Linked DNA regions of Oryzias latipes. The protein of the gene in region 4 binds, or shares a complex with, the protein of the main gene of each other region. Links are inferred from orthologs where the notes say so. Each region holds a gene or a part of one and is shown on either strand. Other genes may lie near its edges.

Region 1 (3,276 bases), on a different chromosome or scaffold from region 4:
TAGGATTTCTACAACTCATTTAGCTCAGAAAACCAATTATTGATCCTGAAACTGGACTCCGTGTGTCCAATCAGGAAAAATCTGCTACAAATGGCGGACAGATGTCTAAGGCTGAATCCGGATTCTTCCCTCATCCCTGCGGCTTCTCCCTACCCCTTCATTTAGCCCTCCAAACGGAGGGATATGGGAAAATATTGTCTCCTGATTCGGGCATCACTCCCACTCGACGACATAATCCATAGTCCCCGTCAGCGCTCGGAAAATTCCTAACATCAGTTTTATAACGTTAAAGAGTGACGCTAAAACAAAAAGTCCTTAACTTCAGTCCTTCAGAGCAAACCCAAGTGAAGAAATGCATTTCTCCTCTACAGGATCACCCTTTTGAAGGGTTTGCCCCCTTAAACTATTTCAGACCCTCCAAATGCCCCAACAATTGGAGGAATAGGGAGAAGCCGGAGGGGTAGAGGAGGAATTCGGATTCGGCCTTAGTTAGCATTGAACATGTGAAGGTAACAGTCAGGACTGTAATATGTTTACATTTTTATTAACTTCCAGCACAACAGTTTCCCCCCCCCCAAGAAAAGTTCAAAGAATTTATGTTAAACTTCCAAATACTTTCTCAAAGCCCTGTCTATCCACCACCTTTCCAAAATACACAGAGAAATACAACGTCTCGGGGCCGCTGTACCTCTGAAGCCGGAGGATGGTCTCATTCGCTGAATCTCCAGTATCTCCAATGGTCATAACATCGGAAACAGGAATGTACATATCACTGCGCTTTCCCCAGAAAGTAAGGTGGGAAACTTTCAGCACGGTTTGAGATGGATCAAGGTACATCATTCCTACAACCCTCCTGAAGAAATGGCTTAGCGTGTACAGCATGACGCCAGCAAACGCAGCGATTCCAGTGGAGTAGCTGACCAAAAAGAAGGAGACGGCTCCCTGGAAATACAGGACAAACACTGGAGGCAGGATGACAGCAGTGATGGCGGTCTGGAGGAGTTTAAGTCTGGACACCGCCCTGAGGAACTTAATGTGTGGCAGGGTGTAAATCATTGAATATTTGGGGGTGGGCGAGTCGTAGTGTCGGATCAAAGTGGGAACTTTAGCTGGAACGGGTCCAGGGTGGCTCTGAACTGATGAGGAGTGTGGAGAAGGAGGAGACTCCAAGGTGTAAGCAATCCGTCCTGAGAGCAAACAGGATCCTCTGGTACATGACAGAAGGCGGGACGTCAGCCTCCGCAGCAACAGCGACTCCATCTGAGAAAAAACTTCACTTAGAAAAACATCCTTCGAAGTATGCTGAGAGACGGAAAAGCAGTTAAGGTTAGTTTCTTCCAATATCTCATAAAGTGATTTAAAGTTACTGGTATGATATTGGTCTGGTTTAGTTCAACCAGACTCTAACATACATGTTCAATGAAATCTGGGATGGATAAACTACAACATTTGCAATACAGTCAACTAAAACAGTTGTAATTCCTCCTAAATTTGCTAAATGGTATTGTAAGTCAAATGTCTTATTCCTGGTTTTGAACTCGTCTCTGGTATCTGGAAAAGGTAACCTGCTGAGACTAGAGACAGTTCATTCTGAACAGTTGTCGAACCTCCAGAACTGTTTAGTATATAAATAAAATATAAATAAAGACGAAACATCTTAATTGACGAATGAAGTTTTGTTGCTACAAGCAAAACGTGAGGAAAAAGACTCACCAGGACAGGAGACAAGGACATAAAATAAGATAAAATACAGCAACACGAGAACAGGAAGTGATCTGTTAGCCGACCAGTGACCCGGAAGTCCTTTCTTAGTCTTTTATTTTATTACTTCAATTTATTTCAAAGTCACATTTTGTTTGGTTGGCTGGCCCACGTAAGGCGTTTTAAAGTGCTGATAGTATTTATAGCCATATTTTATTGAAAAAAAATGTTTTATATTTATTGTGGTAAATTGTTTTTATTGGTTAAAAACTACAGGCTTTTATTTTGTCGTGACTTGACGGAGCACATCCGGCCCGACGGGAGAATCGATCAGCTTCAGCCGTTAACGGCTGTGTTCAAAGACGCCGAATGTGCCGGTTTCGTTACACGTTCGATGCCGTCACAAGTCAGCGGGGCGGAGCTTGTGCCATGGCGAATATCTGTGCCTAGACAGGTTAGAAAGTCTGAGTGACGCGCGGGCGGTGCTTCCGCTTCCTCCAGCTGTTTCCAGACAGGAGAGGAGCCGCGATGCTTCCGCTGGGGGACGAGGTCGCCCTCCACTCGTTGGTCTTCGTGCTGGTCTTACTGGGGACCCGAAGTCCGCTGTGGTCTGCCGTCCTCACCACTTCCTTGTACTGTTTTCTAGCCATGTTTCGTTTCCCGCAAGTGGCGCGCAGCCGAGCCCGTCTCGTGCTGCAGCCGGTGGGTTGCGGGGCGGAGAGCGCGCGGGTGTCCGTGATCGCTCACCGGGGCGGCGCGCACGACGCGCCGGAGAACACCATCGCTGCCATCAGAGAGGTGAGACGAATGTCTTTACAGGTGTTCACGGTGTCCTGTGTCACGTGGAGACGCACGTCAGTCAGTGTCACATTATTGTGAAAGCTCTGGTGAAAACGGCGTTTCTGGTGTTTTTAACTTGATCTCTTGGCTTTTTTATGGTGATGAAGGACAAATATGAAGAAAGTTGAGAATATAACTGCTTTCCTGAGTTCTTTTTTATTCAAATCGTTGTGGATCAGGAGCAGACGAAAAAATGCTGTTGGAAAAAGATCGTATTTGTGACGTAGACAGGGGGCGGCGCCCATCGGTAGCTTTGAGTTGCTAAAGCAACTGCAAGATTTGGCAAAGCAACCCCAAATATGTAGGAGCCCCACCGTTTGAAAGAGCTTACGTTATCGGACATGTCCTGACTAGAGCTGTCCAAATCTACCATTCCAACATCCAGGGCCCTAGAAATTTCCCAGAAGTCTCTGCTAAAAAACAGTGTGCATGATGCTCACTAGATCAGCGAATATAGACCACAATGCATTGCGTTGGACCAATTATTACCAAAAACATGTATTTTTTTAATGAATCAATGTTTTTATCTTCAGAAGACGGTTGACTAAAATAATCGGTGCAAAACGCTCATAGTAATTATATTTTAACTTTGTGAAATCGATGACATCATATCTGCCGTGTAAAAAAAAAAAAAAAGTTGTGAGCATGGAGTCTGAATTGCTTTTTAAATCCAAGACACTACATATATATATGTACATATACGCTACACAGTTTTTCAGTAGTTAGAGTTGGAAT
Region 2 (2,730 bases), on a different chromosome or scaffold from region 4:
GTGCCCTGCAGACACACACAGAAAGATAAGAAGGACCAGCCTGCTCTGTGTGGAAGTATGTGTCAAATAAAGCAACATAAAAAGAGAAAACTACATATGATGATGTAAACAGCTGAAACTTCGCTGACAGATGAGGAGATTGCAGTCTTGATGGGGAAACACTTTTGAGGCATTTATTAATAATTTCCACTTTATCGCACCAGATGTCAACGACATCCCTACAGCTGATGATTCCTGCTGATGACATGCGCCTGACGTCTTCAGCTGGGGGAAGCGGAGCCACTACAATCCAGTGACCCACAGTTTCAAGCACAGATGTAGTTTACATGTAACTGAAGAAACAAGGTCTGAATTCCCTCACTACTCACTATATGGTGCGTTAGCATTTTGTATTACAAAATAATAATTCAAAATCCTAGAAATTTCCCAGAAGTCTCTGTGAAAACTAGTGGGCATTGTTGCATTAAAACTAGGGCTCTAGTCCTGCACTATATCATATTTTATGGGTTAGGGAGAAGTGAGGAAATTCAGACATAGCCTAGGTGTTTGACATGTTTTGCTGAATATTTGAGACATCAAAACTAATACTGGTAGTTCCCAGTTTGGTTTTTACTGTGTGGTCTCTTGCACGATCTCCATCAGCTTCACAGCACTGAGAGCTTAATTGCATTAATAGTCATTGCATAAGAACCTAATGACTGATAGAAAATGCCTGTTAAAAGTGGTGATAAAATGTTCGTGTGATTCATGACTGAATTGCTGTAATATTTTATTTTTTTGTCGCCAAATGTCTAATTTAGCAGTCCTTGTACAGGTTTGCTCACTGCGCACGGAAGCAATGTCTCCAGCATATATTTTTCCTACACCAGTGTTTACATTAAGCTTTGTAAATGGCGATGTCCACCTGCGTTCCTTAACTTTTTTGCGTGTAGAAACTGACATAAATAAGGCTTCTGGTCAGCTCTGAGGCCCCAGTTTCTCCTGAGATTCGGGGAAATCCTGATGTTCAGCTTGGACAGTTTTTAGTACAGGACACCCAGAGGCTGCACTGATCGGATCCTGAACAGTGACACCTGCATACTGCAGCCCTGCCTCATCTTTACCTCAAAGATGGGTAGGATGCGGCAGTCCCTGACGAAGCGCTCATACGGGTAGTTCTTGGTGTAACCCAGACCTCCGAGGACCTGCAGAGCCTCGCTGACGCAGATCCAGCCTCCCTCTGAGCTGAACACCTGCGCGGCACAGAGACATCAGGGTGGGGCTCAAGCCTAGCACGAAATAGAGCACAGGAGGGGGGAGGCTGCATCTACCTTGACCATGGCAGCTTCCAGAGAACAATCTGGAACTCCAGGTCTATCCATCATTCCTGCAGTCAGGTAAGCCATGCTCTCCATCACAAAGGCATTGATGGCCATCAAGGCAAACTTCTCCTGCAGAAACACATGAGGACTTTTTAGCTTGGGTGTTAGCTGCTTTATTACAGTGAGGAGGCTGACAGCATACCTGGATCAGGCCAAACTCACTAAGGCTTTTGTTAAACTGCTTCCTGGTGGCGGCGTACTCAGAGGCCATCTCTGCGGAGAGAATATATAGAAATGCAGAGACTTCGAAAAGCACCACAACCTTCAGAGAATATCTGCTTACCGATCAGCTTTTTGATCATTCCGGCACAGGAGCTGCCCATGCTGAACCTTCCAGAGTTCAGGATGTTCATGGCGATCTGTTCATCACAAAGCTCCCATTAATGACCGACAAACACCTTCAACTGGTCAGGCTGCAGAGCAGGGCACAGTTTACCTTGAATCCTCCTCCAATCTCACCAATTACATTCTCCACCGGCACCGGCACATTGTCAAAGGACACCTCACAAGCTGGAAGTAGAACCAAAGCTCAGCTTCACAGACCCGACAAAGCTTGGAGTCCAACTCCGCCCCACTTACTGTTGGATCCCCGGATGCCCAGCTTGTCCTCTGGCTTGCCGCTGGTTATCCCCCCAAAAGCCCTCTCAACAATAAAGGCTGAGATTTTGTCTTTTTTGACTCCGTCCACCTCCACCTCAGTGCGAGCGAACACTGTCATGATGTCCGCCATCCCTCCGTTTGAGATCCAGAACTGACAGACAAAAGAGGAAGCTCAACACACCTACATGTAAAAAAAACAAACACGTGCACCCATGTGAGCGTCCACCGTCTCACCTTGGAACCGTTGATCAGGTAATGTTTTCCATCTTCAGACAGGGTAGCTCGAGTCTGAATGGAGGCCGCATCACTCCCACTGTAACACCAGATAACAGTCAGCCACGTGCACACAAACGTGCACTGTCATGTGCACAGACAATTCAGTGTTCTATTCCCTGAGTGCATAAAACTGTAATGTTTGTTTTGGGAAATTCAGACATGAAAAAAATTGTTTAAACTTTTATTTTGAAAATTTAAGTTAAAATGATGTTAATCGTTTGATCCAGACTCTTCCTAACAGGGTGACAAAGAAAAAATAGAAAGACGCTAAAGTGTTTTGTTGTAGAGGAAAGATTATTAAGATATACGACTACTTTCCTTCGAAATAAAAGCCTGTGTACTTTCAGTGAGATAAAAAGATGTGTGTGGGGGGGGGGGGGGGGGGGGGGCTGTGTGTACATGCATTCTCTCTGTTACTGCTGGCAGATATTCCCGTGCTCCATCACCTCTTTGCTGTCGGGCTGTGAGCAGAAACACGAATGAAGCTCCACAG
Region 3 (4,151 bases), on a different chromosome or scaffold from region 4:
CCCCCTTCCCCTCAAACACAAAGCTGTAAGTCCACGCTCCGCCGGTCCACTTGACTAGTTAAGAGCGGGAGCGGACCGTTTCTTTTCTAGTTTGTTTGTTACTTTTTTTGTTAAAGTCACTTCCCTCAGTTTATACTGGATCATCGCGGATGAGTCATTAGTTGGGAAATAAAATAAATAAAGTAATAAAGTAAAACAACGAATAGCAATTATATAAGACCGAAATATTAAAAATAGCCCCCCCCACGACGATATCATCGTCCATACCGATGATTGACAGCAAACATCGTCAACGGCCAATTTAAGGGACATCGCCCAACCCTACTGCCAGAACGATATTTATTTAATTATTTCTGAGCGCTCTTCAGCGTCTGACTCTTGTTCTCCACTTCATCCTCTGACCGCTAGTTGGCAGCAGAGAACACGGAGCCTCTTAGAGCAGCTCTACTCTGCACGAGACAACAGGAAGACTGCAGCCAGAGGCAGCTTGTTCTGTTGTTATGAGACATGAAATACTTCGTTTTTACTTGCGATGGATACCAAACAGAAACTCTGAGCCATGTTGCTTTTTATATGTTGCTTCTAGCAACATATAAAAACGAGGATTGTGATGCTTTTTAGCGGCTCAGATAAATAAGAGTGAAGCACGGCAGCGGCTAAAGAGGCTTATGCGCTTAGCATCGGCTAAAAACCTGCTAATCAGCAAAGCGGGCTAAAATTCTGCAAAACATCCCAGCAATAGATTCTAGTTTAGCGACCTGATGGATCAGAGGAATGTGTACAACGCTCTGAAAAAAGGCGACATCGTGGCGAGGAGCGTTAGTTTACCTCCGTGTGAGATGAAGCGTGGCTGGAAAGCCAAAGGTGCAGCACAGGCAGAGACTGATAATATGTAAACAAAGCACTTTTGTCACATTAAAGCATCTTTTCGTCGTTCCGTCATGCTGCCTCATCATCACTTTATTGTTTCTGGAAATAATCAGTGTGTCCCCCACACCCCACCCTTTATTTTTGAAGCACCATTCTGACTCCTGAACCGTTTAAAAGTAATGGAGAAGCTACATTAAGCAAAGTTGAAAATAAACAGCATTTTATTTGCCCAATAGAAACTTATTGGTTAAGGCTCATTCATTCTTTGTTTTTCTTATACTGAAAAATATTTTGTTGTGGAAATCAAACAATGTTGACTGTTCCCTTTCTATATTTTAACTTACCAAAATAAAAGCACTATGAATTTGCTTTGGTAAATGGAACTTATACATGAGACGCAATTGCAGCGCTTAACATTGTGATCATTTAATAAACTGAATTTGACCATTTTATTGCAGTGGATGACATATTGAAATTCAGGTTGAGTTTTTTCAAAGCCATATTTAAAGAAAAAAAGAAAATATGTTTTGGTAAAATTTTGGGATACGTATCGTATCGCCAGACTCTTGCCAATACACAGCCCTAATTTGAGGTGGGACAGGTTTCAGACCTAGATTTGACAAGTAACAACTAGAATTCTGCTGCTTTTCCTGTTCTGGAGGATGTCACACAACTAAACTGTGTGTTTAAACTGGATTTATTCTGCCTTCTGTTATGTCGGCATAAGCAGGCTGCATACAAATGCACAGAATTAATTTGTGAATATTTTTTTCTGCCTAATACTTTGTTAGCAAAAATAATCCTATTTTTCATCTTCCTGTGATAATGGAGAAACTGGTCAGTTTACTCATCATCACACAGCGGCTGGACACCCCCCTGACAGACTGTACCTGGGCTGCCTGATGGTCCACACGGTTGTATCTGTCAGTCAGATGGATGTTATGAACTCGTAAGGGCGGGGCTCCAAGGCTCTCCATGGCAACAGGACACGCCTTCAGCTGTCGCACAGCGAGTTGATGGTATTCACTCCCAGCAAAGTTTTCTGACGAGATAGCAGAAAAGAGAGCATGCGCACGTACGTGTGCATGAGTCACAGAGACATGAAGGGGCTGCAGCAGAGAGACAGACCAAGACATTTGCGGGTTCCACTCCTAAACCAGAGCCACTTTCAGACCGTAAAGCGGAACCAGGAGTTTCTGTTTTGAACAGACTATTGCTTCAACGCGTGCACGCACACATGCACTCACTCTGCATCAGGTAGTACATGGTGCCAACGCCCCCACCCGTCAGGACGGTAGTGAAGATGGTGAGCCTCTGCAGATGGTGGATGGGGACCCTCATGGTGCAGCTCTTCCTGCACAAAAAAGCAAAGACAGATGAAACGGAGCCACGATGGCGGCTGAGCTGCAGACACCAACCTGAGAGACATGATGGAGGGAAAATCATCAGAGGATGCTGCCAGAAAAATGACTTATAGAGAGGAACTCTCTAGGTCTACAGCTCTGGAGTCCTGTCCTGGTTTCTAATTTGTTGAAACTTTATTTAAACAGGAACAGTGTACACAAATCCCAGAGAAAACAGGAACATTGTTCTGATGTTTTTTTTTTCTCCTGCAGGAGGAAACATTTCCAAAAATCCGAAAATAAAGATAAAGCATTCACTGTTGAAAATATTGGGATGTAAAAAAATGCTTCTAAAAAAAAAATCACCGACTACGAGGCACCGACTGGGCGGGGCCCTTTTACGTCATCGGGAATGTCCTGTCAGCTGGTCGAAATGGCCTCTCCATGAATGCTGTGGCGGACAAATGCGCTCAGGTGAGTTCAGTGTCACTCTTACCTGAACACATGCGGCTCTACCGGCGCGTGCTCTTCCCTGACCCCTCCCCCTCGTTTGCGCGGTTCTCCGTGAGCGTGCGCCGCTCTGCTGCAGGTTAGATCCGGAATCCGTCCGTAACACGTGTTCACGTGGGTTTAAATAGGGACGGTGGCCTTTGTCTTCTTTCTTCTATGCTTATCGGGGGTTTGTGCCGCACAAAGGCTGTTTACTGCCCCCTGCTGGACTCTGGACGCGCTGCACTAGATGAAATATAGAGGAAAATGGAACAGTCTTCTTTACAATTCAGTTTTTCCTGGACATGCAGGATAACTTCATACTGCTAATAAAAGCTGGCTTTCTTTCTTCGGTCTATATTCTGCACCATTTTAATGGAAATAAACGGGTTTTATCACCACTCTAATCAAAGTGTTTGACTGCGATCCGGGTAACCTTTGAGCACCTGTGGTTTACTAAATGTACATCATGTTTACGTGTTTGCGTGGACAAGAATGCCGCCCCATACACAGCACGGATATGGAACATTTTTCATTGTTCAGGCTGTTGTGTTGTTGTTGCTTCGAAACCTTTGAGAAGCTGCTGAAAAGAGGAAAAGTAGCTTATGCACAGAGCTGCACCAGACTGCATGTGCAGGAGACAACACCACCATGCAGACAGGGATGTCAGTGTTTCAGACTTTGCTAAGAAAAGTGGTAGGAGTTGTGTCTTAGAGTTAAATACATGTCCTCGAATGGATGGAAGAGCGGGACTACTGAAGTTGGATAAGCTCCATCGGGGAGGCCGTTAGCAAAGAGAGATGATTTTTAGAGAGAATACATTACGGAGAAACATTTAAATGAAGCACACCTGTTAACAGATACATATTAATAAAAACAGGATGATGCTTCTAGATATATTTGGACAGGACTGGTGATCTCTGACATCACCCATAGGGCTCTGAGGGCAAAAAACCCACGAGGAATACTAACCTCTCAACCGTCTCTTCGACTGCTGTTTTGGGAGTGAAAGCAGTCATTGTTGGTTCAATTCCCAGCTCTTCCAGTAATGTAGTATTGAAGTGATGTTGGGCAGAACACTACAGTAAATCTGTGAGTTAGGTTTAGTTTTTCCAACTGCATTTTTCCATCTGCTCGTGATTCAATTATTTGGAAAAAGCCACTTTAATCTTTATATATGTTCATTCAGAATGTTCTAAAAGAACATGTTAACACCCAAAATACAATTCTCATCGGAGTGGGTTTTAACAATAACCACTGTCCTAAAAGTTTATTTTTCATTCTCATGTATGAGAAAATACACGTGAATTGGGGGGGGGGGGGGGGGGGGGATTCGGACCCATGGCCTTGTTTTGGTTTAATAATGGTTCCATTTAAGCAGTGTGATGCTGCTTCCTGTGGACTAGGGGGTATGAATCTTCGGACACACAAGGTGTATATTTACATAAA
Region 4 (4,033 bases):
AAAAATTAGTTTTATTATTCAATTTTAAGGATGATATTTTAAAATTCAATTCAATGAGGAAACCTTTAACTGAATTGACAGCAGAACTCCTGTCACTACCGTTGTATAAAAACAGAGGGAGATCCAATTAAATCTGTTAAAACATATTCATGTGGACAAACATCATATTCTAATTTTATTCTAAACTGAGTCTTTTGCACCTTTTACACTAGTTCTTTGTCACTGTAATCAAAAGTAACAATACAAATACAAGAACCTCACATAGAATACAATCCATTTGCTTAAAAATAGCAAAACAAACATTTAATTTGAAATAATTCTACTTTTTTTTTCCTTTTATGAACGTTTGATTGGAACCATTTGTAACTTGATTGACATATTTGTATTGTGAAAAATCATTGATCATTAAAAATGAATCGCTGGAAAGAAGCGATTCCTGTTTTCAGGAGGTAAAACACAGACGGGACCTTTGATCTCGGACCTGTCACTCACACAGACGGGACCTTTGATCTCGGACCTGTCACTCAGGGCCCGTCAGGAGGGGGTGGGCCGGAACTCACCCGGTGCTGCTGTGGGTTGCTCCGCGCGGCGCGCGGACCGTGGGGTTCTGGCTGGAGGACCCGCGCCGTCTGCCACGAGCATCGGAGCAGCCGCAGATCCTGCAGCCGCTGTAGGCAGCGGGAAACCTTCATGGTGGAGCCATGAAACCCACCGTCCAGATGGTAGATCCACACAGACAGACAGACAGCGACGGCTATCGAAAGAAAGACGGACTCAGGGAGGTCTGAGCGCGTGCCAGGATCACAAGCACCAAAATGTCTCCCACTAGTTATCAGTGACTCCCGGAAGAGATTAAAAAATGAAGCAAAGTGACAAGAAAACACTCAAAACACACCTGAAAACGAGTCTCCTTCAAAACAACCACACGGCGGCAGCTTACCGGGGAACCAACGTCCTCTGTCCGGCACCTTTTTCCTTCCCCCTCACAACAGAGAAAAACAGCAACAATCGTTCCGCAGGTCCGGAGAAGAAAGTTCCGCGCTGTGCTGCCCGGTGATTTTAGACAGAGAAAATGTAAATATTTGTTTACGTAAATACTAACCGTTCTTCCTAACATAAAATACGTCTTAGCAGCAGCAGGAAAAGGCAGAGAGGTGCAGAGATTCAAACCCCAAACCCTCCTGTCAAGGCTGGTGGCAAGTGTTCAACCAGGTGGATTTTAATGTGACAAAAGCTCAGCAAGAGGGAAGATAAATAAATGTCATTCATAAAGTAATAGTGCCCCCCCCCAAAGCTAGTCAGGAGAGGCCTCCAAAGTTTAGTAGAGAAGAATTTAACTTAGAAAAAAGTGGAAAGCCGTTAAAAAAACAGGTTTGCTTTGATAGTTTTGAGGGAAGTTTTATCAAACGATAATTAATGCAATAATCGTTGAGCACTAAATGTTTGAGTAATATTAATTTCTGGAATGTTGTCATGTCTTTTTGTCAGAAGTTACAAACTAGAATATGATAAATATGTAAAAACAAGTTAAATAAAGCACAATAGGGGTGGGTTTATGTTCATTAGCTTTCTCTTACTCCTCAAATAATTAAACTCTTTTGGAAAATAAATTTTAATTTAATAGGTTTAATATGTCGTGTATTGTTTATATAAGTGCAAATATTTATGATTAAGAGTAACTATAAAGGAATATATGTTTGCAACTGTTTTTATATGTTTTACTTTTTAGATTTTTTAATCACTTCGTGACAAATCAGCTTGAGTTTGATATACTTGATCTATACATAAATGTCTTTTGTTTGTCTTTTCGGTTTTGATCGCTTGAAATAAATCAAATCCAAACGGCCTTTTTATTTGTGTATTGGGCCTTTATTTTGGAAGGCTGGACCAGAGAAATGGTTCATAGAATTTAATCTGTTTTTTAAACCAAGAAACTGTGATGTAACTATTGTCAGAAGAGCCCAAAAATGGGATTTTTATTCATTTCTCCTTGATGTGAAATCTGTCTGATGCATTCAGATATTATCTGATCCTCCTGTCTGTTTACCCAGCTGCAGGGAAGGACAATGGGGGGGAGGGGGGTAGTCGGATTGTGTTTTGGGAGTTTGGTTAAGTCTGGTGAGGCTGAACGTGGTCATGTGATCCTCCCAGCGGCGGACATCAAACGGGATCAGCAGCAGCAGATGCTTTATTCAGCAACATGCAGTTCCGGATGACGCCACGCGGGGGCGACAGAAACAGCGGCGCTGAGGCAGCAGCAGGCATCGCCGCGCTGCATGAGCTGAAAACTCCACACTAACATTTTTCGCTCTGGCTGTCAGCGTCCGGGGGGGTTTCTGGGGCTGGGGGGCTGCAGCACTGACATGACAGCGGTATGTCCCGCTGATGGATCCCTGTGAGTTCTGCTGTCAGTTTGGGAGTCGGTAATCCGGTTGCAGGGCTCGCGGGGTTCCTCCTGGCGCGTGAAGCGCGCGGCTGTGAGCGGCATTCACGTTTCCGGTGTGCTGCAGCGCCCGCAGTTGACTGGAGCCTTTGTGAGACACTCCCGCGTGAGCATGGAAAACACACCTTAAAGTATAAAAACACAAACCTTTGGCCGCACCGCGCCTCTCAACCGGATCATGGACTCCTCCACCAACAGTCTGGGTGAGTAGTTCTGCTCCGAACCAGCCGAACTTTAGCGCCAGCCCCGCTGCTTCTGACTGACTGGTTCCGATCCACTGCTCCTGCGGGGAGCAGTCATCCTGGAGTTTTTTTGTAAATGTCCGGTTGGTGGAGGACTTCAGAACATTTGTTTGGGTTCTGTTCACAACTTTCTCTTTCCGTTTCTTGGCTCCGGTTCGGTTCTGACAGTAGTTGGTTTGTCTTCAGCCCGCTTTTCACCTGCAAACGGCCGCGTAAAGCTCCGCGTCGAGCGAGGCGCAGAGATGTGTGCCGCGGGCGCAGCGCCGTGCGTGGGTGTGCGGGGCTGAAGTCATATTTGCGGTTTGGAAGCAGCGCTTTATCTCATGACCTGAAGGCGGTTCTGAGGAATGCCTTCACTTTCGGATCAGCAAACACGGCCCGGATGACAGCAGCGGGTCGGGCTCCGCTCCACGGGACAGACAGAAGCGGCTTTTGTTGCACATCTGGGGCCTCTGCGGGGCCTGCGGGGCCCTTCTGTGCTGATGCCTTAAACGTCTGGGAACGTCTCGTGCGCTCAGATTCCCGCAGCTTTCATTTGGAGGCTCTTAGATTCAGCTGGAGGCGCTTCTTGTTTCCGTTTTTGCATCAATGAGCTGCAGCTCCTGCAGAACTCTGGCTGAAGGTGTCAGGAGCAGCGGAGACCCCACCTGAGGATGTGGACTTCCCCTATAGGCCTCATTCTGTCCATCACGTCTGTCATCCTCCTCCGTTTAGACCAGAGTACTGACTGTACAACAGAAATAACGTCAAAATACCTCGATGGGTGTGTACTCCAATCCACTCATCTTCTTCTCTTCCTTTGGGTGTTTCCCTTCAGGGTCTCCACAGCCAATCAGCTTCCTCTGTCTGTCTCCTGCATCCTCTACCAGCAGCTACCTTCATGTCTTCCTTCATCCAGAGTCCTCCTCTCTGGTCTTCCTCTAGACTCAGCATCCTTCAGTCTGTCCTCTGGACATGTCCCAACCATCTCAGTCTTACCTCTAACGCAGGGGTCCCCAGACTTTTCAGAGACGTTTCCATCCTCTGATGGGGGCCGTGGTCAGTTTGAAACAGAGAAAGTGTGACAGTCGCAGGGGGGCCTAAATGTAAACTGAGAGCCACACAGAACCAAATGTTAACAAGCCGATCTGTTACTAAATAATCCTCTCTGGGTTCTTTACATAAAAAGTCAGTAAATATAAAGTAACAGTATTTTAGATTTTAGAAAATCAATAATAACCACATAAATCTCTGTAGTTGTTCACAGAAATAGAGCTTCTGTTGTCCGTGCACAATCTCAGGTTCAACTTCAGTTGTGGAGCAGAATCTCCTAAATGACTCATGTGATCAGTCTCTTTAGGTTTTTGTG

What was found.
Region 1: ecsit (region 4) and tmem186 share a complex: the UniProt entries of both Homo sapiens proteins name them as parts of the mitochondrial complex. The link is inferred for Oryzias latipes from reciprocal best matches to the Homo sapiens genes ECSIT and TMEM186.
Region 2: the proteins of ecsit (region 4) and acad9 are in contact, whole or in part, in a cryo-EM structure (PDB 8PHE), measured with the Homo sapiens proteins. The link is inferred for Oryzias latipes from reciprocal best matches to the Homo sapiens genes ECSIT and ACAD9. Residues at the interface, in NP_057665.2 of Homo sapiens: Pro321, Glu322, Glu323, Trp324, Asn325, Leu326, Tyr327, Tyr328, Pro329, Met330, Leu332, Asp333, Leu334; in NP_054768.2 of Homo sapiens: Leu180, Thr181, Asp188, Ala189, Ala190, Ser191, Ile192, Lys228, Lys239, Asp240, Lys241, Ile242, Phe293, Ala296, Met297, Leu300, Ile431, Met434, Tyr435, Leu438, Thr439, Leu441, Gln442, Gly445, Thr449, Leu516, Gly520, Lys521, Ile523, Met524.
Region 3: ecsit (region 4) and cytochrome c oxidase assembly factor 1 homolog share a complex: the UniProt entries of both Homo sapiens proteins name them as parts of the mitochondrial complex. The link is inferred for Oryzias latipes from reciprocal best matches to the Homo sapiens genes ECSIT and COA1.

What each region holds. Positions count from the first base shown.
Region 1 is NC_019859.2:36,187,880-36,191,155, reverse strand, and holds tmem186 (transmembrane protein 186), read right to left. Parts: upstream 1,874-3,276; 5' UTR 1,735-1,873; coding exon 1,714-1,734; intron 1,261-1,713; coding exon 595-1,260; 3' UTR 526-594; downstream 1-525. Other genes in the region: gde1 (glycerophosphodiester phosphodiesterase 1), read left to right, coding at 2,230-2,499. UniProt on the Homo sapiens protein: As part of the MCIA complex, required for efficient assembly of the mitochondrial complex I.
Region 2 is NC_019863.2:25,296,312-25,299,041, reverse strand, and holds part of acad9 (acyl-CoA dehydrogenase family member 9, mitochondrial), read right to left. Parts: intron 2,275-2,730; coding exon 2,196-2,274; intron 2,113-2,195; coding exon 1,941-2,112; intron 1,872-1,940; coding exon 1,798-1,871; intron 1,721-1,797; coding exon 1,645-1,720; intron 1,575-1,644; coding exon 1,504-1,574; intron 1,431-1,503; coding exon 1,311-1,430; intron 1,233-1,310; coding exon 1,104-1,232; intron 6-1,103; coding exon 1-5. UniProt on the Homo sapiens protein: As part of the MCIA complex, primarily participates in the assembly of the mitochondrial complex I and therefore plays a role in oxidative phosphorylation.
Region 3 is NC_019875.2:5,297,638-5,301,788, reverse strand, and holds the start of cytochrome c oxidase assembly factor 1 homolog, read right to left. Parts: upstream 2,867-4,151; 5' UTR 2,710-2,866; intron 2,688-2,709; coding exon of another isoform or gene 2,662-2,687; exon of another isoform or gene 2,587-2,661; intron 2,225-2,586; 5' UTR 2,212-2,224; coding exon 2,118-2,211; intron 1,913-2,117; coding exon 1,761-1,912; intron 1-1,760. Other genes in the region: blvra (biliverdin reductase A), read left to right, coding at 2,662-2,687. UniProt on the Homo sapiens protein: Component of the MITRAC (mitochondrial translation regulation assembly intermediate of cytochrome c oxidase complex) complex, that regulates cytochrome c oxidase assembly.
Region 4 is NC_019876.2:29,030,251-29,034,283, forward strand, and holds the start of ecsit (evolutionarily conserved signaling intermediate in Toll pathway, mitochondrial), read right to left. Parts: upstream 2,868-4,033; 5' UTR 2,647-2,867; coding exon of another isoform or gene 2,622-2,646; 5' UTR 2,591-2,621; exon of another isoform or gene 2,081-2,590; intron 991-2,080; exon of another isoform or gene 983-990; 5' UTR 896-982; intron 755-895; 5' UTR 693-754; coding exon 561-692; intron 1-560. Other genes in the region: eml3 (echinoderm microtubule-associated protein-like 3), read left to right, coding at 2,622-2,646.